4 linked regions of the Schizosaccharomyces pombe genome follow. The gene in region 1 interacts genetically with each later gene. Each region holds a gene or a part of one and is shown in the gene's direction. Other genes may lie near its edges. The genes, in order: vps38, npp1, ptf1 and uap2.

Region 1 (6,240 bases):
TTTACAACGAGACTGTAGAACTCCACAACAGGTTTGGAGCGAGTTAGTTCTGTTGAACTGTATTTTATACTATTTCCTATTTGTTGGTCGAGCTCAATAGATTTTGGTAGGTTTACTATATCTTTTTAGGTATCAGTTGTAACTACCATTCAATACTTTGTAATTCAAAAATCATTATGTTTATTTTTATAGAAATTAATATGTGCCGCTGTTCAACATCACCATTTTCTTGTTTCAGATTTAAAGAATTAATTATCCTGTTCTCCACGGAAGCTCTGAGTTTTAAGTCTGCACGTACTCATTGCCGATATTTATTTCAACTCAATAGGTATCATTACGGTTTGGAGAACCTAAAAAATCTTAAATTATGAATTCCAACGTAAATATATGAGGAAAATAAAGATGTGCCATGCTTTACATATTTTGAGCGAATCGACCAGCTATAAACAGTACTCATCAACACATTAGTGGTGAGCATACCGTACATGGAAAAGCAAAACATCCTTTTTTAATAATACAATTTTTTCTTATTAACTAAAATCCTTACCCGATTAGGTGGGTGTTGTTCATCCATTATCTGTGCTACATTTAGAGAGAGACCTCTTTCCAAATCGATTACACTTTCATTTTCTATGTTTACACATCACTCATTTGTAAATAGACCTTCTAACTGGACAATAAAATTTTCTCAGTTTTTAAATTAAAGAAATGGAGAGTATTATACAATATTGCATGAATTGAAAACATTGAAGCGAAAGAGCGTGAACAAGGATTTCATCCTAACTCGTAAAGCAAATGTTCATTCTGCCTCGTTTGACATATCAGACGGAAGTCAAATCAAAGTGGATTTAAATTATAAAATAACTTGAAGTTTCATTTTATCATGTTTGCAGATTTTATTTACATTTCATCTCCACATTCCAATTGTATGCACATATGCAATACCCACTGTTACTGGTTCCTTTCTTAACGAAAATTATCGCCGCATACTAAAAAATATTTAATTTGTTTATTGTGACTGTAAATTAATTTGTGTTTTTAGATCTTTTATCGGGTTTCTTCAGGACGGGCTTGATGACACTTCGATTGTTTACAGAATATATCTATAGTTAAATTATTTAAACAACATTAGCAAGTCCAACCTATAATAAGGAAAATAAGCTCACTCTGGAAGTTCTACTGGTTTGGCCGATAATGTTTTTAGCAACATGTAACAGCGTTTACTATTGAATTTGTTTAAATTTCTTAAATACCATTTTGATCATAGCAATTCTGTTCGGTTGCTTATAATATTGCTCTAAATTATTTTTTATTTCACTTACTTCTTCTGCGTTTTATTTCTTGCTGACTGTAAATATGGTTAAATTGTTTTCAAAAACAAAGTATCAAATTTTTTTTTGTGCTTCTTCAGCGGACAAATGAATAGTAAAAACTGAAAGCGTGCTTTTTTGTTGGTAATAATGTTTGATTTACTCTTTTTTTTTTTTTTTTTTTTTTTTTTTTTTTGGCTCAGACCTTCTTGCTCATAATGATCTGGGCCATAGTACATCAATTTTCGAAGACAGTAATAAAGCAATTAAAAAAAAAAATTTTCGCCATTGATTCAAACTCACATCAGTTATCAATTAAAAAATTTCTTTACAGTTAATTTCTGCTATATTATTTTATTGAACCTTTTTAAATTCATTCAACCATTACGGAAGACACTAAATTTCCTTAAAGAATGAGTTCTGAGCTAAAGGATCAGTGGCCAGCTTTAAGAATAAGATATATTACGGCAAAGTTTCAGAATTATCTAAATATAATTTAATATAAATACATTTAACGATTATATTATGTATAGTATTATAATCCAATTAATTAATGGTAGCATATAATGACACGCAAAAGGGCTTAGTGAAGTCTTGCTGCTGACAATAAAGTGCATATAATGTTAGCTTCGCAGTTTGGTATCTGATTTAAGGATACATAGAACTGCGGTGAGTTTTCCTTGTGATCTATTATATTACAATACACAGGTTGTATGAGTAGCAACTGAGTATAGGTATTGTATTAACTAGGTTATAATGTTACCTATCACTAATATATCTTATAACTGAACTGAGGGACGAGGTTCAGTTGTTCTCAATTTATAATATTTGAAGTAGTAAGAATTATATCTGATAGTTATCTTATCATGAATGATATTATATCTCCATCTTGATGACTTATCATGTAATAGTTGATAGAGCAAATAGAACATTGTGAACATGTGACATATAGTGATATGCAACGTGGAGTATCATTGCGTAGTGTAGTATTGCTGACAATAACGAACTAAACCAGTATATTGTTATCCTACGCTAGCACCAGACTCAGCTGAGTTTACCAAGTAGGGCGATGCGATGAAGCAAAAGCATTCATTGCTTTAACCATGATAGAATGTCGCTTGAATTACCAGGAAACTACCGACTTTCCAGGCTTAAATCAATACAAATAAGAAATGTTCAAGAAATTCAAAATCATAGCAAATTTGCGATCAATACGACGGAAAATTTGTGGAAACGAGATGTGCAGTTAAAACGTGCAATTTCCGAAGGAACTATTCGTATTTTTATATCATTGCATGTGCAGAGTAAGAAATTGCCTGTTTATATTACTGAAACGAGCGGAAATGCTGTATGTGAACATGCTTTGATAAACAAAAGTATCTGAATGGTATCATTATATCTAGGTTATTTGCTTGATTGAAAAGGTTAATCAGTTTGTTTATACAAGTGATTTGCCAAAATTTCGTTGCTCAAATCCTTGAAACAAAGCCCTCAATTGATAGTTTATACCTTGTATCTCTTTTACCCATATACAAATTTTGTATGTATTTATGTTCTTTGTGTCTAACCTCTCATTAGAATCACATCTTTTACGTCGATGAAAAAGTAACCGAAAAGCTTCAAAAATACCGTCACGAAGAGTACTTTATCGTGAGGACTTGGTGCTCATCAAGTAGTCATGCCTTCAAGCTACATAAAGAATGGAAAATTTTGAGATATGACAGTAATTTTCGTTATATTGGTAATGATGTACGGTTGAATATTTTTGGTTTACCTTATGTTTCCCTTGTGTTGACTAACATATTATTTGTAGCCTGTTTTTGCAGTTTGTCATATTCGAAACGGTCTTTTATGTGAATTTAATGATGGCGTTTACATCTACACAACATCCCAGTCTTCGGATATTATGAGACAGACCTCCTTTCCAAAAAGTGCCTCCACATATTCTATAGACAGGCGGAAGGATGGTTACACTATTCAGAAAATCACTCGAATTTTGAAACTGGCTGAATGCATAGATGAAATGCACATTGCTAAACATGAAATTCGAGCTCATTTTCAGGAGGAGGAGTTTCAGCAGATACGTTTGATGCACAAAAGGATGTTACTTCGGGATGAAAAAATCGATGAACTGGCTAAATTAGAACATCTTTGGCAAAAACAAATTAATAGCATCACTCAGATGAGGACGAAATTTGACAAGACGAAAAGCTGGTTATCCTCAAAAAGGAACACTTTGAACAAATCCAAAGAATCCCTTCAAAAAGATGAAGCTGAGTATGTGGAACTTGCCAATTCTTTAAAAACAAAAGTAGAGACCAATATAGAGATTCGAATCCTTATGGCACATGCTATTCGTATGCACGTTTCCCATCTTTCCAAAATTTACCCAATCCAACCATCGCCTGGCAATCATGACGAGTTTACAATTCGCAATCTCCGCCTATCTTTTGAGCCAGATAAAATTAATAATGTGGAAATGGCTGCTTCCATAGGATTTTTGGCGCATTTACTTCAAACTCTTTCAAAGTATCTCGAAAAAGAACTCGCTTATCCAATTCTTTGCGCATCTTCGAGATCCTCCATCCTGGATACATTGACACCCGACATCCCCACGCGTATCTTTCCCCTTTATCCAGCAACTCGACCAATTGAGCTTTTTGAACATGCCATTTATCTTCTCAACCAGGATGTAAATGATTTTTTAGAAACTTTTGGATTACCTATTGACCAATCCATGGACATACTCAGGAACTTTAAAAAACTGCTCCAATTTATTTTATCAGGACAACATCTATCTTTTGTACAAGTAACGTCTACCGCTCCTTAACAATTCCATAAGCTTAGGCACCATAAGCCTAAATTATCGTTAATTGCAAAACTACGCATAACTTGTCTATCGTTTAATTGTATCTTTTCACCCTAGTTTACTCTCAACAATCAATTTCGTTTTCGTATTCTTTGTTGGAAATTCATATACCCATTTCACGGTTTAATTTTAATCATCTTAATGAAGAGTTTTTATGGACATTTGCCGAAGGCATATTACTCATTGTCATTGCGACAACTACTATACAATGCATTTACGTTTAAAATATAAAAATAAACAGATAATGATGAATGTAGATATTATAAATAGTTCCCTTAAATTAATAAAACTTGTGAATTAAAAAATAAAAAGAGCCATGTTCATTTTTTGATAGTTATGTGATGGTGATCGAGCTCTTCCGGTTACATCCGACCCACATATTCTAGGTATAGGCAGGCGGAGCGGGTCCTACACTTTCAAAAACTGGCGGGCATTCTTCATCCCAACTAATACCTAAACCAGCTGGCGTGGTAAGTGGCTGAACGACTGATACTCGTAAGATACGGGCATTGCCCATATTGTTTCCCGCAACGTTCTTTTTTCTATTAACAATGGTCTCAAAAATTAAATGATGAGAGACTTTTAAGGAAAAAGGGGCAGGAATTTCCACGTCACAGCTTGGCTCTCTTAAAGAAGATGTGTTAATTTGAGTAGATAGAAACATCTGATTATCAATGAACTTCCATCCCGATTGTAAATCTTGTGTACTCAAAATTCTTTTTTCTTCAATAGGTCGAGGTTTTACCAAATCACGATGGCGTTCACATGGTTGACAACTAAACTGCATATGCTCCTCCAATCTCCAAGTAACTCTATTGATCTTCCAATCGTTGCCGTCATTTTGGGCAAAACCAGTCATGGTAACTTCCATAAGCGCAGCTCCATGAGGATGCAAGGTACTGGGCAAAGTAATGTTTGCAACAAGATTCGTAGGGGGAAAGATACGTTTATGGATGGTATCAGGCGAAGGAATGGCAGCTCGCTTTAGTTGGAGAGGAAACTTAAGAACTTCGGGCTTCGAGGGAGAAATTCCGCCTTCAGGAGTACCATAGCATAACGTAGCTTCTAAATAATACTCAAGCTTGATGTATCTGTTAGAAACCGAAGCAGGAAGCGAACCAGGGAAAAGCCAACTAAAAGGCCAATGCTGAGTACCAGGTCTATATGTGGTATTTGCAGCTAAATCCCAAGTCTGTAAAACCTCTTTTGAACCCGCACAAGCAGAACAATGAGAGATTGCAGGATGAAGAACGGTGATCCTTTTTATGAGTTGCAGCTTGAGGGTATGTACTTTAATAAAAGGTTGATGTAAAATCGTCAGTTTTAAAATGCCAGACGCAAGTGCACCACTAGACGTTTCCGGCGAGCCAAGGAATACCAGCGGCGGTGATTCCATACGTATATCTAACGTACAGCGAGCAGGGTCTTTTGGCGTGGTTGAACGAGGTAGTGCAAGTTTTAATGGCATAGTAATAAGAAAATCTAAGCGTTTGTCGGTAAAACAAAGGAATGGAAAAAAAAATAGAAATGGAAAATTTTTTAAAAAAAATTACCAGTATGAAATGATAAACCAGGAATAAAATAATGTGTGTAAAAATGCCAAGTACACCTAAAAAAACCAAACCCTACAGTGGAAGAACACTGCTAAATTGAACTTAAAAAATGTGAAAAGGAAAAACCCACCAGGAAATTAAAGAGAAGAAAGAATTAACGAAGTATGGAAATAAGAAAAAAAGTCGTTAAACCAAACAACCAACGACTTTTTTCTTTCGCCTATTATCCAAATTTTTTTGAAGATGATTTATACCTATTCTTCTTCCGTAGAAAGTAATAGTAATCCAATTGATGAGAAAGAAGTAAACCGACTTGAATTTAACACAGGGATGTAAGGTAACAAAAAAGCTGAACAAAGGAACTTTATGAGTTTGCTTTATGTCTCCCTTAGTGATGATGTTTTTGTTTTAATAATTCAAAATCTCATGTGAATTATCAACCCAAAAATGTGTAAGAACAAGCTAATTAAAAAAAAATAGCAGACTGTCAATTAAAGTAGAGCACACA
Region 2 (5,921 bases), 590 kb from region 1:
TTCGAGGCATTCTAGTAGACTCATTGTATGGTAAAGATACAAGGGTTTTGTGGGCAGGAAAATATTTATATCCACAACGGTCCGTGATCAACGAAATGGATTTCATCCTGTTTAACACGTTAGGGATTGGTGCCTTCATTCTTCATGATCATTTGCTCGGAATAATCAAATACAATTATATACACGTTCCTCCTCCTTCAGGAAAATTATGTTCGTTGTGTGAAGATAATTTACCAGAGTGGTACTTTGAGGTACATAGCGATTTTTGCCTTGTTTGGAATGATCTCGTACGCCGCGTTTTCGCCGTACAACAATTGATAAATTGTAAGAAGCTGGAAATAGAAGACATAGTTAACAAACTCCCTACGGGTAGTAATCATATGGTTGAAGAAACCTTTCTTTCCTTGCCGGTCATAACAGTATTCAACGGGAAGAAAAACAGAAAACAGAGGTTTCGCATTCGATCATGGAGAAGCTCTCTGAACTTTTTGGTTAAGGAACTGGACAAATCCATTAAAAATTTTGCTTATTTAGAACATCGAACGTTTTTGACAATTTCAAATTCTGCCGCGAAAGACATGAAGCGAGAGATTTATGAAAAATCATTGGTGAATTGGGAGTATGATTTTCTTGTTCCCTCAAAGATCCAGGATTATTTTTACGATGTTCATTCACTTCTTTTGAAAAATTTATCGTCTAAAATAAAACTCTGTAATCACATTTTAATGTATCAAGCAACGTTTAATGAAGTTAAAAATTTTCTTCAAACGTACTCCTTGAATATGCTATCAATTGAGATGGAAAACATCGAAGGAAGTCTGTACTTTGGAAATGCTCAATTGTCCAATCTAATTTGCGTAAACCAATACCTTTCCGAACAGAGACCAGTGTTTTTCAACAGGCTGTTAGCCCTTGGGAACGTTGAAAATAATAATTCAATTTACGATGACATCCAGAAACGAACAGAACGTATATCTACCATAAAAAGACATAAAAAATACTTTGAGATTGGAGAACGCTTAACAGAAAAAGACTTAATTGTGTCTAAAACCTTTAAAACAACAAGGATAGATTATTTTAAAGCGGTAAAGGGATCAATTGAAGATCTGGATGTGAGACCTCTAAAAAATCGGCAGAAATTTGTTAACAAATTCTATGCCTCGATCGTTCATTTTCTTACCGAAAGTATGCAGTTCCCAAGCCATAATGATAGGAGATTTGGGGATAATACTCCTCACTCATTAGACGAGTTCATACTTTTAAAAGAAATAAACAGAGGGGCATACGGTAGGGTTTATCTTGCTAAAAAAAGATCTTCAGGAAAGTATTTTGCTCTTAAAATGATTCCAAAATCCAGTCTTGATAGCTTAAAAAAAATAAAAGGACTATTGCTTGAAAAGCGTAACATGCATATCCAAAGATATGGACCAAACACAGTGAAATTATATTATGCATTTGATTCTGGGGACTACCTATGCCTTGTAATGGATTATTTTAATGGAGGAGATTGTGAAACACTTATTCAAAAATTAGGACCGTTACCAGAGCAATGGGTTTGCCAGTACGCAGCTGAATTACTAAATGCTATCGAGCTTTTGCATCAGGATGGAATCATCCATCACGACATAAAGCCTGCCAACATGTTGGTTGACGAAACAGGACATATTCGGCTTACAGACTTCGGACTGAGTGAAAACGTAGAGGAAAAAAAAGAGGTTTATAAGCTTACTAAGAGGATGTCATTTGAACAGAAACATGGAAATTTGTATGAGCAGCTTCAACCTAAAAAATTCGAATTTGTAAGATATGTTCGAAATTACCGCGGGAATATTGATGAGCTTGAGAAAGCGGAGAGTCCACAGCAAAATAGTGATTATGCCAATGACTCGGTCCAGCATTTACTTGACTTTGATATCAATAACATGGATGAAACAGCAATACACATGTTAATGAATCAGTTAGAGAAAAAGGAAAACCGGACATTCATCAAAAAAGATATTTCAGGGACGCCAAATTATATGGCTCCAGAAATTTTAATGGGCGTTGATACTCAGATGGGCGATATATGGGCGATGGGTTGTGTGATATTCGAAATGTTGACTGGCACGCGACCATTTGAAGCAAATACTGTAAAAGCAATATGGGCTCGCATAGAGAGAAATGATATTGGTTGGACTAAAAGAGTGAAAGAAAGCTGCTCAAAGGAGGCGGTAGACTTAATCACCAAACTCATGGATCCAGACTGTAACAAACGGCTGGGTAGCAATGGATACCAGGAAATCAAAAAACATCCTTTTTTTCGAACCATTAAATGGGATAATTTAAATAGTGGGCCAGGTCCGTTCGTTCCACAAACAGAAAATGTTGAAGATTTGACGTACTTTGAAAAAAACATAAGCGGTTCGGATAATATTAATAAAAATAATTGTCAGACGTCAGCAACTTTAATTCTAAATGGTATTTTTGCTTTTCATCCTCCTCCAAAAGCAACACCAGCTGACAGTGGTACTGAAACCTCAAACTCAGCTGCTTTCTCTGCGTCCGAGGAGGAGACCACAAATTTAACAGACCAAAAACGAAAAGATCTTTTTTCACTAATAACCAAAGCGTTTAAGGGAATAGACTTAAAGGCCCTTAATTACAACAACAAAGCCACGCTTTTGCGAATGTATGATGAGGTCGATTTCCCCAAAAATCAACAAAGAAATAAAGAGAAATTTCGAATTCAGAAACGACCTAACAAAAAGTATCGCTACCATTTATTTTAACATCATGTAAAACCATAGACATAACATGTTCGCTATCCAGAACGAATCATGATAAGTTGAAAAATGGTTAATTAATATTTCCATACAGAAACAGTAAAAAGACAAATAAACTTGTTCTACAAAATCTTTTATTCTGAGGCTTTAGCCAAATAATGCTTCTAACATAAGTTGATGTTTCCTCCTTGAATCCAAATATTATTAATAGTTGAATTTCATATATGAAAAAAAGCTATCTCATTTCACTAAACGTTTCAAAGGATGACATTTCCTATACGACAGAACATTTAAGAGGACTGAATAGTTTACGAATTGAAGTAAGTTAGAACAAAGTGTTTACCGCATATCTTTGAAAGCGTTAAATGATTTTAACAATATTTTTCGCATCGTTATTCAAGTAAGTATTATTTGACAGATTATATGATATACCTAACAATACTCCTTTATATCATTGATTTTGAACATTCGCCGAAATGTTTAGTTGGGCTAATATTGGGTCCAACGAGTATTTGCCTTTGAAAAATGATCGAAAGGCTTATTTGAATCAATGGGCAAAACGATCGGGACTAGCAATTGCCGCTATTTGCATTTTAGGAATTCTGATATTGGCAATTGTGAAATTATTTTGCTTCAAAGCAATTATTTTTCCTATCGTTGGAGGTTCCTTCAACAATGGGACCAATGTTTTTCAGTCCACTGTCATCGTAATCTCCTTGGATGGATTCCGTGCTGATTACTTATATCGTGGGTTCACACCTAATCTTCTGAGCCTGGCTGAACGTAATGTCCATGTTCCCTTTTTGATTCCTTCTTTTCCTAGTATAACTTTCCCTAATCACTATACTATTGTTACCGGTTTATATCCCGAGAGCCATGGAATCGTTAGTAACAACTTTTTTGATCCTGTAACTGGGAAGCAATTTGTCAACAGTATGCCTGAATGTAACAAAGACCCAACTTGGTGGGATAAAGGGGAGCCTATATGGGTCAACGCTGAGCGAAATAACGTTCGATCAGCGGTACATATGTGGCCTGGAAATGAAGTGGAGAATCATGGTTACAGACCTACTTATTCGGATGGTTTCAATTTTGATACGACTCTAAGAGAAAAGAAAGATAGAATACTCGAATGGCTGGATCTTCCTGATAAAGACCGCCCTCAGTTATTACTTGCTTATGCTCCCCATGTAGATATGGTTGGGCACGCATTTGGACCGGATTCGCCTGAACTGAATATCATAATTCAAGAAGTTGATATCGTAATTGGTGAACTAATTGAAGGACTGAAGAAAAGAAATATCGATAAGCATGTCAACATTATTTTTTTAAGTGATCATGGAATGGCGCCTACATCCGATAATCGTCTTATCTGGCTGGATAATATGTTTAATTTGTCTGCCGTTGCACACAGAGATGCTTGGCCGTTAGGAGGTTTTAGAGGAGAATCTGATTTAGATGATGAGTACATTTACGAAAGTCTTGTTAATTATTCTCGCTCGTCATTACCTTCTGCTGAGAATTGGAATGTTTATTCAAAGAAAGATATACCTTCTCGATGGCATTACTCAAATAATGAAAGAATAGCTCCCGTTTGGATGATCCCGGATGTTGGATGGTCTCTTGTCTCGATGCTGGATCATTCACCGGAGTTGGAGTATGAGCCTTTGGGTGTACATGGTTATGACAATTTGTCTCCAGTGATGAGAGCACTTTTTATCGCTTCAGGATCTTCTTTTAAGAATTTTAAGGGAAAGAAGCTTGCACCGTTCCAGAACACCGAAATTTATGGCATTCTTTCGCATATATTAGATTTACCAGCTCAGCCTAATAATGGTACATATGAAGGTGCTTTACCTTTAAGAAGAAATCGTAATTCTACTAAGGAATGGTTGCTGAAGGACATAGAACAAGCATACTCTAAGCTTATTTAATTCTGCTGTTTTATCACTATCTTTATATTTTTTAATATTTTTAATTTCCTTTAGATTATATTTAATACTTTTTTTTAATAAACGACTTTATTTGAATAGCAACAATAACTGTATTCCGATTTTTAAGAATCGTAAAAGAACATCACTTCTTCTATTTTTAATTAAATGATGGTCATAACTTTGGTTTCACTTTGGTACTGCTCATCCATGCAAATGTCTAGTGATTGTTAGCTTGTTCTTATACCTAATTCATTCCATTAATACTTACCAATTTTCGAGCAGCCTCCGGGTCCACCATAACATTTATGAGAGATACAGATGAGGTTTGCCATGCTTTCCTGAGGGAACTTCTCAAATCTTCTTCATTCTTTACAAAGAAACCTTTACCACCACATGCTTCGCAAATTTGATCATAACGTATACTAGTGCCTAAGGCAGTAGTCGGTAATTGGTGATTATCACGTAAAGTTTCATAAGCATCAGTATCTAATCCATGGTAAACACCATTATTATTGATTACAATTACCAAAAGATCCAGCTGGTTGCGTATGGCGGTTTCCAGTTCCATGGCGCTAAAGCCAAAAGCACTATCACCCTCAACTACCACTATTTTGTCGGATGAATGGGCAAATGCGCTGGCAATAGCATATCCCATACCAACTCCCATTGTTGACATAGTGCCTGCATCCAGTCGACCACGTGGATGAGTTACTTCTAAAAGCTGACGGCCCCGGTCCATTGTATTGGCGCCTTCAGAAACCCAAGTGATATTACGCTTTGATTTGAGCGATAAGCTTTGTAGCTCCTCATTCACGACATACAAAGCATAATTCATTTGCAACGGTATACTGGACTTTCGAGATTCAAGAGCCTTTTTCTCATTCTTGGATCGGGTTTCATTTAACGTGCGAAGGTAAGGGGTCGAGATGCCAACACTGTACTTCCAAGTTTGAACGAGCTTAAAAAGACAATCTATTGTCAGACCTACATCAGCCCAAATTGCTAAATCCAAATCTGCAGCATTGTTTCCTAAAGTTTCAGCATTGGTATCAATTTGAATAAATTTGGCATTAGGAGACCACTTTGGTGGAAGACCATATTGAAATATCCAATTTAAACGTGCCCCTGCTAAGAGCACTACATCTGCATTACGAAGAGCAGCTGACCTTGCCGAAGACACATTTAAGGGATGCGATTCTGGTAACAAACCTTTGCCCATGGGACT
Region 3 (5,539 bases), on another chromosome or scaffold:
TGATATATTTCGCTCTTTCTGTCAGCAAAACGATATTGAACGGGCATTAAAAATGGTTCGTGTTCATGGTCCAGATCAGCAAGAGTTGTACATCATGATGTTGAACTGTTTTGCGTCTTTAGAAAACGTTGATAGTTGGTATCAGGATATCAACGAAATAGTTAACATAATTGTTTCTCAACGTCTTATTTCGCCAACACAATTGTTAGACATTCTTGGAAAATCAGTCAATATCAAGCTCGAGCACATTAGTGACTCAATGCAATCTGTTCTTGACAATTATCGTGAATCAATCTCGAAACAAAATGAGGCTATTGAAATGGGTAAGCGGGATATTGAAGAAATTACTAGTCAACTTTCAATTCTTCGTACAAGAGCATTTGTCGTGCAAGAGTCTAAATGCTCTACCTGTGGAATCGATTTAGAGTTACCTATGGTACATTTTCGCTGTGGACATTCGTATCATCAGCGGTGTGTTGAAGATGAATGTATTCGTTGTCGATGGTTATAATGAGTCAAAAATATGAAAATTAAATACAAAGAAAGAATGGAAGTAATGCATTATTTATTGTACGAAATAAGTTACTCAAGTCAAAATTATGATTAAGAATATTTCATTAATATTTTTTTTGGCAAAATGGAATTAGGTAGTTACACTTGGATTCTCTGATAAGGTTTCTTAGTTTGAATAAATGAAGATATACATCTGCTTTGCTCATAACGCAAATATCTGCTCTTTTTAAAACTTGTAATCTATAAAACCTTTACCATAAAATCTTGTAATTAACGATTGTTAATGTAAATAATTCAACGCTTGAATGCTAAACCAAACAAGTGAATAAAGGTGTAAATAATAACTCCACCGCCTACCGTAAATTTGGTCGCCAGAATAGACAGTTGACGATAAGTCAATTGAATGCGGTAGTCTGTAGACAAAAAGCGAGATAGGAAATATTTTAGCGAATCCAAAAAAGAGTGAAACGTATCGTAATTAATAGGAGGAAGAATTAAGGACGCAGAATTTTTGGGAAGGTTTTTATTGTCAATTTTCGGAGAAGTAAGCTCTAATGCTTGGCCGACAGCTTCACCTTTTTTATCAAGTTTCTCGGAAATCTTTTTCAGTTCATCATTTATTTCAAGTTCTCGTTCCTTGTCAATGTGATCCACAGCTTCACGAACCAACCGTTTCCTTTTCCTTGGTTCCAATATTAGTTGAACGACCACAAAAAGAACAACGTTAATTCCCATTAATCCCCATGTACCCCAGGTACTTGCTTGCCGGATTTTATCACTCCAAACTTGTTCTTCGTGGTATCTCGATAAAATCGAACGCACCAATCCATTTTGAGCTTCCTCTACCCGCCTTTCCGCTACATCCACATCTTCTTGAGCCTTAATTTCTTCTTCTTTGTTTGAATAATCATCACGGTATAGTTTAGTAAATCTTTCTAAATCAATAGTAGACCAGCTACTACGTCGTTGTAACAATTCGTTGACTTCACGTTGACTTGACGATCTTTTTTCAACCGCTTCAATATAACGCTTTCTTGCTTCAGCTGCAGATAATCTAAAATCACGGAGCTTTGTCTCCTGCTTTACAACCGCGTTCTTTAATGCCTCAATGGAGGAATAACCAGTTAATTCATTCAAGCGTTGACTCGCTTGGAGTATAGTCTGTTGAACTGATCCATTTCCTTTATTATAGATTTTGGGAAAGCGAGCAGCAAATCCCTTAATAGACTGAGAAAGTCGTTGCAACATACTTTCTTAATACTTATACATTACTGTTATATCCTTTCATGTCTTCATATAGTGAGTTAAACATAATGTACTGCTGCACCAGCCATAAAGCTGGTTTACGGAAATATTCATAAACAGCTTAGAATATGCTATTTATAGTTAGGTATCAGCAATACTATAATACGCTATAATACTTACGTTGCGTATCACTATATGTCACATGTCCTAATTAAATATCGTACTATGTATGATACGATATTGAGACTGATCTTAATGATAATCTATTAATATTTATATCATCTGAATACTATAAATAGAGCTACTGCTAAACCTCGTTCCTCAGTTCAGTTACAAGCTATACCAGTGATAGGTAACATTATAACCTTGTTAATACAATACCTACACTCAGTTGCTACTTATATTATCTGTGTATTGCGATATTATAGGTCACAAGGAAAACTCACCGCAGTTCTACGTATCATTAAAACGAATACGAAACTGCGTAGCTAACATTAGGATAAGCGAAACTCACGCTTGAGAGAATGTTGTAGATGTAAAAAGCATTTGAAATTTAAAAAGAAAAAACAAAAAAAAAAAAAATTACACTTCACTTTACAAGGCTTGGGCCACTTTTCTTAGGATTTATGGTAAAACGTACTGAGGATATCGTTTACCCCTTGCAGAAATATAGAATATCATTTCTTTTCTTTGATAAATATATGCTTTAAGTTAATTCAACCTCTACACTAATTTCGATTTTTAATCTGCAGCCCTTTAAAATAAAGAAGACTGTAAATTACTTTAAGAATTTCATTTTTTTGCATATAAAAGATAAAATATGACATTTATCATGACTCGAACAAACGACTGCTTGCTAATCACGGAATAAACAACAAACTTTATATCAGTGCTGGTAAGTTTCGTTACTTTAAATCCTAGAGTTGGATAGCTGTACAAAGCAAGCAATTTCAGCAATTCAAAAAGATTTGGACTATGGCTCAGAAAAAGCAGTTATACGTATTCAGTGACTTTGACGGTATGAAAAAATAATTTCAATAAAAACAGACAACTAACTTTTGGGGTCTAGGAACTATTACACTCCAGGATTCCAATGACTACTTAACTGGTAAGGTTGGGAATAGGAAGATTGTTACAGATATAAAAAGATGTATAAAGGTAGTTAGAAAATGTTCTTACAATTAAGCTTAACTGAATATTTATTGAAGATTTACGAAAATCTGTAAGAGAAATCTATGATTTTATAACATTGGGTCAAAAATTTCCCTGCCCACCTTGAATGCTTTATTACTGCAACACTCGACGGCGACGGTTTACTAACTATGTTTTAGACAACTTTGGAATGGGCAACGCCAACCGTGTGAATCTAAATCAACAAGTTCTTGACGGTTCCATTTCTTTTCGGTAAGCGTTTGACGCGTAAATCAACTCTTAACAATTCATAGTGATGCTTTCGCGAAGATGTTGGATTCAGTGCATTTAAGCTATGATGAAGCTTTGGAGGTTCTCAAGAAGAATGTCGCCATTGATCCATCATTTAAACCATTCTATGAATGGTGTAAGTCTCAAGACATTCGTGTAATCATCCTTTCAAGTGGTATGGAGCCTTTTATTCGTGCACTTTTTGAGCAATACCTTGGCAAAGAAGAAGCAAGTAGTATTGAAATTGTTTCTAATGACATCAATGTGCATCCTGATGGTCAATGGAACATTGTGTATCATGATGACAGTCATTTTGGACACGACAAAAGCCTTACTATCCGTCCGTATGCTCAATTGCCAGAAAGTAAACGTCCTCACATGGTCTATTGCGGAGATGGTGTTTCCGATTTGAGTGCTGCGAAGGAAACAGAACACTTGTTTGCCAAGAAAGGACGTGATTTAATTAAATATTGTGAAAGGGAGAAAATTTCTTTCTCTGAATTCGAAACCTTTGCTGATATCCATAAAGATTTGCAAAAATTATTCTTTAGCAGTTAAATCTGAATAATACCTAAGAAGTTTTCGTACTTCAACATTTTTATACCTAAAGTTGATAGATATTTGTTATCAGCGCCTCGAAACTTAGTTTCAAGCAGGTCCTCATAGCAATTTAAATGCATCATTCACCAACGGTTCGATTAGTTTGGGTTGTTAGAAGCAATGATTTAACATAATTTGTATTTATATACTCATCCATTTGCGAGTCTTGTATGAAAAATCCTATATCATATCAGTCCGTAAGTGGTCGCATTGCTACAATATCTCTTTATTTTTTTTAAGAAAGAAAATAAAGAGATATTAAATTTTGCGTCTTTTGGTCGTGAGATCGCCGAAATAAGGTAGCGAGTATAACATAATGTAGATCACGCATATTGTTATATTTTGGTTTGGTAAAGTTACTCAAAGTCAGGAAACTTGTAATGATGTTTTAAGGGGCTTGCAGAAAAAATTGCTATTACGAAATCCATGTCTGTAATATTTTGGTTATTAATAAATTGAAATAAAATTTAAAACATGAAATATTGTGACTTTATGTATCCTGTCTACTACCATACCTTTCAACCTTCATACAAATTTTCCCGTACTCGCATCATTTTCTTTCTTCACCTAACTCCCCACCGTGTCTGTAAAACATAATATTTCTCTTTCCCACATACGAACGAATAAATAATAAAATACAGTATATGTACAGTAAACGTACCTCAGACACCATTATTTTGTCAAGAAAGTGAATAAGCTTACAATACCCCCGTCATCCAGTGAATTCGTAAGTGGGAAGTTGAAAAACGCATGCTCAACGCAGGATAGCATACAAACGGAAAAGCCCTTATGGATTTTTCTGTGGATGCTTTTCTTTTTAATTAAAAATTTAGTCGTTTATTAACTATTGCTTTAAGTTTTTTTCAACAAGATGTCTGTCTCTGGAAAAATTGGAGAGGTCGATCGTTGGATTGAACAGTTGAGTCGATGCGAACCTCTTTCAGAGGAAGATGTCATTCAAATGTGTGATCTCGCAAAAGAGGTACTTTCTGTAGAATCAAACGTTCAAAGCGTCCGATGCCCTGTAACGGTTTGTGGTGATATTCATGGACAATTCCATGACTTAATGGAGTTGTTCAATATTGGCGGCCCTTCACCTGATACAAATTATTTGTTTATGGGAGATTATGTTGACAGAGGATATCACAGTGTAGAAACAGTTTCTCTACTGATTGCTTTTAAAATTCGATATCCCCAGCGTATAACAATATTACGTGGAAACCATGAATCTAGGCAAATTACACAAGTTTATGGATTTTATGATGAATGCCTTAGAAAGTATGGAAATGCGAATGTTTGGCAGTACTTTACAGATCTTTTTGACTATTTGCCTCTCACCGCCCTAATTGAAGATCGAATTTTTTGCCTTCACGGAGGTCTTTCTCCTAGTATTGATACACTTGACCATGTTCGTATATTAGATCGTGTGCAAGAGGTTCCTCATGAAGGTCCGATATGCGACTTGTTATGGTCAGATCCTGATGACCGACCTGGTTGGGGTATTTCTCCTCGAGGTGCTGGGTATACGTTTGGCCCGGATATTGCTGAAGCATTTAACCATAATAACGGTTTAGATTTAATAGCAAGAGCTCATCAGCTAGTTATGGAAGGTTATAATTGGACTACAAACCATAATGTTGTTACTATTTTTTCTGCTCCCAATTATTGTTATCGATGTGGAAACCAAGCAGCCATTATGGGAATTGATGACCACATAAATTACGCATTTATCCAATATGATACTGCTCCCCGAAAGGAG
Region 4 (5,979 bases), 2.6 Mb from region 1:
TACCATTTCACTTAGCAAAGCTAAAGAACTTCGTACTAGGCCTCCTTCTCTATTAATTGATGATGAAAATGAAGCAAATCTCACTTCTTCGATTGGATTAAAGAAGAATGCAAAACAAAAGAATAAGAAATCAAGCAAGCAAAAATAAATACCGACACTCCTCAAAATCCACAAAAGCAAAGTGCAACACATTCCAATTCTAAAACCTGCGCAACAGACCCTGTTCTTAGTATCTGGTTTTCCTTAATCTATTTTCAAACTAAATATCCCTTCAAAATTGAAAACATAGCTAATATGTTTGAATTTTAAATTCGTTGATGCTTTTACTGCGGACATATTTGACACCAATTTAAGAATTAACCGGGCATATTTGATACGCTCATTTCGATTCTGGTTTACCGACATTTACTAGCGGAAGCTATAGTATCTTCATCATGCACATATGGCTTATTTAACGTTGAATTATTTGCTTTTATCTTTTATTGCATAAATTTTTAAAAGCAAATGCATCATTCTATTAATTCAGCATTTTTTTACTGATAATTTTCATTTGTTTGTCGACTTCCTACCACTTTCGTTTGTTTTATTTTTAATCTTTATTTCGATCATTTCGATCCAGCTGAGTCCACGCTGGTAGCGGACCTGGATCATTGCAGAATTCGTAGGCCTTTTACTAGTGATACTAATATAGCTAATGAAAATTTAGAATGTTTGTTTTCTATGTATGGGCATTCCTGGCATTCCTTGGATTAGCAAATACGTTTTCTTGGCTGCGGTTTTTTATCTTTACATGCAATCAAAACCGTGTAGTGACGTCCAAAAAGTAAGCATTGGCTGCTTGTAAGTTGTGTATAAACCCAGAATGTATAAGCAAGTACGCACAAATGTAGCTTTTCGTAGAAGCAATTCTTTTTTGAAATTTCAAAAACGACACTATATCCATTTTTTGGCGATCAACTTCAATAAGAGCAATAGTCAAACTCGTTAAACAATTCGTTAAATCGGCATTAAAAAACTATACCATACACTCCCTTTTCTGTTAAATTCCAATCGACTATCAGGGTTAGGGTTTTGTTATACCCAGGTCTTTTATTCATATAAAAATTACGCACCACTAAAATTTTCCTTTAACCAAACTCTCAGTTAGTTTAGGTGCAACAGAGAAAAGTTTAGTATGGCTCAACCACAAAACGTTCCTACCTTTAAGCTTGTACTTGTCGGCGATGGTGGTACCGGTAAGACCACGTTCGTCAAGCGTCATTTGACTGGTGAATTTGAAAAGAAGTATATTGCAACTTTGGTACGTTTTATGATTTTACTTTATTAGAACAGTTTTTGTATACCGGAAACGATGCCTAGTATCGTAAATAAATGCCATCTTTTTATGAGACATACAGTTATCTGTACTCGTGCATCATCGGTTTTCAGTTACTCTTTTTATGCTTAGATCTTTCGTTTAGAAACAACAGTCTAACATATTTTTAGGGTGTTGAGGTCCATCCTTTGCATTTTCATACTAATTTTGGTGAAATTTGCTTTAATGTTTGGGATACCGCTGGTCAAGAAAAGTTAGGTGGCCTTCGTGATGGTTACTATATTCAAGGTCAATGTGGTATTATCATGTTTGATGTTACTTCCCGTATTACCTATAAGAATGTTCCCCATTGGTGGCGTAAGTGATATTTAAGCAAAAAAAAGCTTTAAATGTTTTTTTTGATACTCATAGACCGCTAGATTTAATGGTTATAAGTATATTGACATTAGCTTTTTTTGACTACTTTAATGAACATTACTAATCGAATGCAGGTGATCTTGTCCGTGTTTGTGAAAACATTCCCATTGTTCTTTGCGGTAACAAAGTTGATGTTAAAGAGCGTAAAGTCAAGGCTAAGGCTATCACTTTCCATCGCAAGAAAAACCTTCAATACTACGACATCTCCGCCAAGTCCAATTATAACTTCGAAAAACCTTTCTTATGGCTTGCCCGTAAGCTGGTTGGCAACCCCAACCTGGAGTTTGTTGCTTCGCCTGCCCTTGCTCCTCCTGAGGTTCAAGTCGATCAGCAATTGTTAGCTCAATACCAACAGGAAATGAACGAGGCTGCTGCTATGCCTTTACCTGATGAGGATGACGCTGATTTGTAAACCAATTTTTTATATCTTTTTTACGTCTCCCTTGCAGATAAAATACATTGGTTCCTGGCCGATGGGACGGTTCCGGTTTCGAAAAAATACCCCTTCTTTTCCTTAAATAAAACTTATTAGTATTTTTCCACTCGAAAGAATTTATTCATTAAGCTATTCCGTTGGGGTTATTTGAAATAGATTATGTTTAGTTTGATATGTTCATATCACTATGTGTGGTAAAAAGTGTAAATCGTATTTTTTAAGTTAATTGTAATTTTGGTAACTTCATTTTTAGAAATACACATTTGTTGCCTGTATGTTTTGTTTCAGTTTAAAATTGATATTGTGTGCGACTGATGGACAAGTTCTGGCATACCAAGGAAGATTTTTTGAGGACTAGGATTAGTAAAGAAACTATGCCTGCCTATTTATTGATTTATCGTCTTAGTTTTTTTGGTAGTTTTGGCATTCAACAACATAGGTATGCGAGTTGCGTGCTGTTAGCCGTAGGCAAATCCCTAAATTGAAAACTAAACTAATACTTTTGACTTGTGTAACGATAGGTTACAAAGTGTATGCGTTAATGCGAAAATTCAATGCTACTGGCATTAATAAGAATATTGACAATCAATACATTAATTGTTTACCTCAATCTCTAAAGAAGCTGTATTTTGTTCCATACATATTATACAAAGCAGTGACATTACTCTACATATATATTGTGGCGTTGTTAGAAATCGTTATGTGAAAACAATCGAGGTCATTTTGAACTTTACCAAGTTATAATCGTTTTAGAGCTCGTAGATTATGTCCAGCCAGCCTTTTTGGGATGAAAGAATACATCGTTGGAGATGTTTAGGATCAGAAGGAAACGAATTAATATATATTGATGAAGAACAAACTTGGAAAGATTATGTACGATGAACAATTTTGCTTTACCATTCCATTGAGACAAACATGACCCCTAACTAAACAAGGATCCTAATAGCTTAAAAATGAATAAGGCCGGCTCAACTGGTGCAGAAGTCAGTGATGTTACGGCGGAGGCTACCGAAGGAAAGGAATCTAGCAACGGCGAAGACCGCCATACCAAACGATTGTACGAATCGACATCGGCTGAAGGGTATCCTTCAGGTTCTCGAAATAAAAAGTCAAAGTCCGAAAATTCAGAAGCCTCGCCCGCCCCAGTAATAAACAAAGCGGTTTACATTCAAGGACTACCACTGGATGTCACGGTTGACGAAATTGAAGAAGTATTCAAGAAATGCGGTGTTATTGCTAAGAATATTGACAATGGTACGCCGAGAATCAAAATCTACCGGACAGAGGATGGAACTCCTAAAGGTGATGCTTTAATTGTATTTTTCCGCAGCGAAAGTGTTGAGCTTGCAGAGCAATTATTTGATGACACTGAATTTCGTTATGGATCTGGGCAAAAGATGCGTGTCCAGAAAGCTAATATTGATTACAAAAAGGAGAAAACGGTGAACAAAGACGTAGGTGGTGCCTTAAAAAAAAAGGCACTTCGTCTCCGACAACAACAAATGCAGTATGTTATGTAATGAATACTCATAAAAAATTTCTCTTTTATTTATTGTTGCATACCAACTTTTTTCTTTCTCGGTTTTATCTTTTAATTTATAGAGCTAACAGGTTTTAGGCAAATTTCATCCTGGGATGATGTTGACGAAGAGGTTGATGATAAAAGAAAAAAACGATTTAATAAAATAGTAGTTTTAAAGCATATTTTTACGCTGGAAGAACTCGATAAAACACCTGAACTTTTAATTGACTTAAAAGACGATATCACTGAGGAAGCTGAGAAATGTGGACGAGTTACTAATGTGGTTTTGTACGACAAGGAGCCTGATGGAGTAGTAACTGTACGGTTTTCAAACAATGAAGAAGCTGAAGCTTGCGTAAGGTTAATGCAAGGCCGATATTTTGATGGCCGGGTAGTGGAAGCTTCAATTTACGATGGAAAGGTTCGGTTCCAGAAAAGTGGAAAGCATACATTAGATGATGAAGAGGACGAGGAAAAACGTTTGGAAAAATTCGCAGATTGGTTAGAAAATTCTAACTGAAATTTTTTAAATTTCGTAACTATGTCTCAGTTGGCACATTATCCATTTATACGTGTGTTTTTCTTGACCTCTTTATTTATTTATTTTTTTCTTCTTTTAAAATAAAATTATCCCTTGTTTAAAGTGACAATGAGCTGGCGAAATATCAATTGTTTTCAATTTCGGATAAAAGAATAAGCTAACAGTTTTATCAGTCATAATAAGGCATTCTTCCTATCATAATTGAATGGTCCCTAATTTTTGTAACACATACAAATACTCTATGAATAGCTAGTTTACATCCTCATGTATAAAGCAGTTTTATTTAGACGTGCATCAATATAAGTTTGTTATTATGCTATGCGCTATTAGTTATTCCTGATATTCATTCATGTTGATTATCGTTGCACATTACTACTACTATCTTTTCTGTTCTTTCCTCTACACCTTGTTACCCCGATTTATGCTGGTTAGGGTATACTGCGCTGGTCAAGGAAGTAACCGTTCCAATGTGTGTATGTGTGTATATTGACAACTCCCACTACCCTTTCATTATAAGATCTACTTTTAGAACGCGATTGAGGAGGAAAAGGATCTAAGTTATAGACATTATTTGTTTTCAAATCTTCCTCTAGTGAAAGTTGCTAGGTTCGCTACAAATCTGTTTTAAAGTTTATAAAGTGGTTAGCTACTCTCTTTTTTTTCACGTTACACGAGTTTTCTTTTGCTAATCTGACTATTCTCCTAAAAAGTCCATTAAATGGATTCAGCATCTTCTATGCGAAATAGAAGCCCCTTGGGTGTGCCGGAATTTTCATATTCTTCTCAGTCGGTGAACAATATACGCGGTATCAAAAGCAGAAACAGGTCCTCAATTGGGCATTCTATAACCGATCCTCAAGTTGCCTCACGAATAAATGCTTTTTACCTCTCCAATGTTCAATCTAGCATTCCCTTTGAAACAGATGCCATTGGACCTGCCTACGGTATTGGCGACATGATTGCACCGGAAATGAACGATACACAAAGTTTGAGTGCCTCTGTAACCAACATGAAAAAAGAGAATTTTTATTCACGACCGAACGTATCCTCTTCTAGCATTCTTTTAACTATTAAACGCGCTACCAGCTCACAAGAAACAAAACGGGACCGTCCTTTGCCGAATATTAGAAACTCAGCTCCTTCAGCAACTCGCTCTCATTCTACACCATGTGTTGCCCCAGGATATTTACGTACATCTAATGAAGCCGCGGACGTTGTATTCCCTCATGAAGAGGCACATTTTTCTAATCACAACCCTAAACCGAATAACGGATCCCCATTGCAAAAGCAGGTAGTAGCGGATTTACCTTTTCCCTTACCAGTATCCGATGAAGAGCAACTTGATTGGATTCGCGCCAATGAAGACCTTGTACATTCTCAAGACATTGACGAAGCATTGGAGTGGGCAGAATACGTCCTTCGATTTACCCAATCTCATCTACCATATCTTCAAACATATGAAAGCGAAAACCTCCATGAAATTAATTATTTGGAATCAATGTGCGAAAACGCGCTCTATAAAATTCGAGAATTTTCAGAGTTAGAGAATGCTAAAGCAATGTATTTCGATGCCTATGTCTACGAGACAGGTGCCTTTGATGTAGAGTCTGATATCCAGCGGGCCTGGGACTTATACTCTTCTTCTGCTAATCTAGGCTATACACGAAGCTTGTACAGATTAGGAGTGTTATTGGAAGATCAAGGTAACCTAGAAGAAGCCGTCGAATATTTTGAAAAGGGTGTTTCAG

What was found.
Region 2: mutations in vps38 (region 1) and npp1 together harm fitness more than expected from each alone (negative genetic interaction), as found in Schizosaccharomyces pombe (one large-scale study listed by BioGRID).
Region 3: mutations in vps38 (region 1) and ptf1 together harm fitness more than expected from each alone (negative genetic interaction), as found in Schizosaccharomyces pombe (one large-scale study listed by BioGRID).
Region 4: mutations in vps38 (region 1) and uap2 together harm fitness more than expected from each alone (negative genetic interaction), as found in Schizosaccharomyces pombe (one large-scale study listed by BioGRID).

The regions. Positions count from the first base shown.
Region 1 is NC_003423.3:1,803,841-1,810,080, forward strand, and holds vps38 (phophatidylinositol 3-kinase complex subunit Vps38), read left to right. Parts: upstream 1-2,390; 5' UTR 2,391-2,421; coding exon 2,422-2,658; intron 2,659-2,888; coding exon 2,889-3,059; intron 3,060-3,123; coding exon 3,124-4,140; 3' UTR 4,141-4,477; downstream 4,478-6,240. Other genes in the region: arrestin-related substrate adaptor Any1, read right to left, coding at 4,562-5,647. UniProt on the Schizosaccharomyces pombe protein: Involved in endosome-to-Golgi retrograde transport as part of the vps34 PI3-kinase complex II. Mediates the interaction between atg6 and the pik3-ppk19 core complex, leading to the recruitment of atg6 to the membrane.
Region 2 is NC_003423.3:1,209,670-1,215,590, reverse strand, and holds npp1 (nucleotide pyrophosphatase), read left to right. Parts: upstream 1-3,199; 5' UTR 3,200-3,238; coding exon 3,239-4,696; 3' UTR 4,697-4,800; downstream 4,801-5,921. Other genes in the region: serine/threonine protein kinase Ppk31, read left to right, coding at 1-2,768; 2-hydroxyacyl-CoA lyase Hac1, read right to left, coding at 4,869-4,913, 4,965-5,921.
Region 3 is NC_003424.3:2,603,452-2,608,990, forward strand, and holds ptf1 (phosphoric monoester hydrolase), read left to right. Parts: upstream 1-2,700; 5' UTR 2,701-2,733; coding exon 2,734-2,776; exon of another isoform or gene 2,777-2,827; coding exon 2,828-2,866; intron 2,867-2,922; exon of another isoform or gene 2,923-3,089; coding exon 3,090-3,162; exon of another isoform or gene 3,163-3,203; coding exon 3,204-3,738; 3' UTR 3,739-3,963; downstream 3,964-5,539. Other genes in the region: vps11 (HOPs complex subunit Pep5/Vps11), read left to right, coding at 1-511; protein She9, read right to left, coding at 808-1,761; serine/threonine protein phosphatase PP2A catalytic subunit Ppa1, read left to right, coding at 4,652-5,539. UniProt on the Schizosaccharomyces pombe protein: Component of the mst2 complex which is a highly specific H3 lysine 14 (H3K14) acetyltransferase that functions together with gcn5 to regulate global levels of H3K14 acetylation (H3K14ac), critical for DNA damage checkpoint activation.
Region 4 is NC_003423.3:4,382,512-4,388,490, reverse strand, and holds uap2 (U2 snRNP-associated protein Uap2), read left to right. Parts: upstream 1-2,900; 5' UTR 2,901-2,933; coding exon 2,934-3,041; exon of another isoform or gene 3,042-3,103; coding exon 3,104-3,675; exon of another isoform or gene 3,676-3,786; coding exon 3,787-4,210; 3' UTR 4,211-4,454; downstream 4,455-5,979. Other genes in the region: pob1 (Boi family protein), read left to right, coding at 1-148; Ran GTPase Spi1, read left to right, coding at 1,175-1,300, 1,486-1,672, 1,807-2,144; chr4 (SEL1/TPR repeat protein1, 3-beta-glucan synthase regulatory factor Chf3/Chr4), read left to right, coding at 4,950-5,979. UniProt on the Schizosaccharomyces pombe protein: Has a role in pre-mRNA splicing.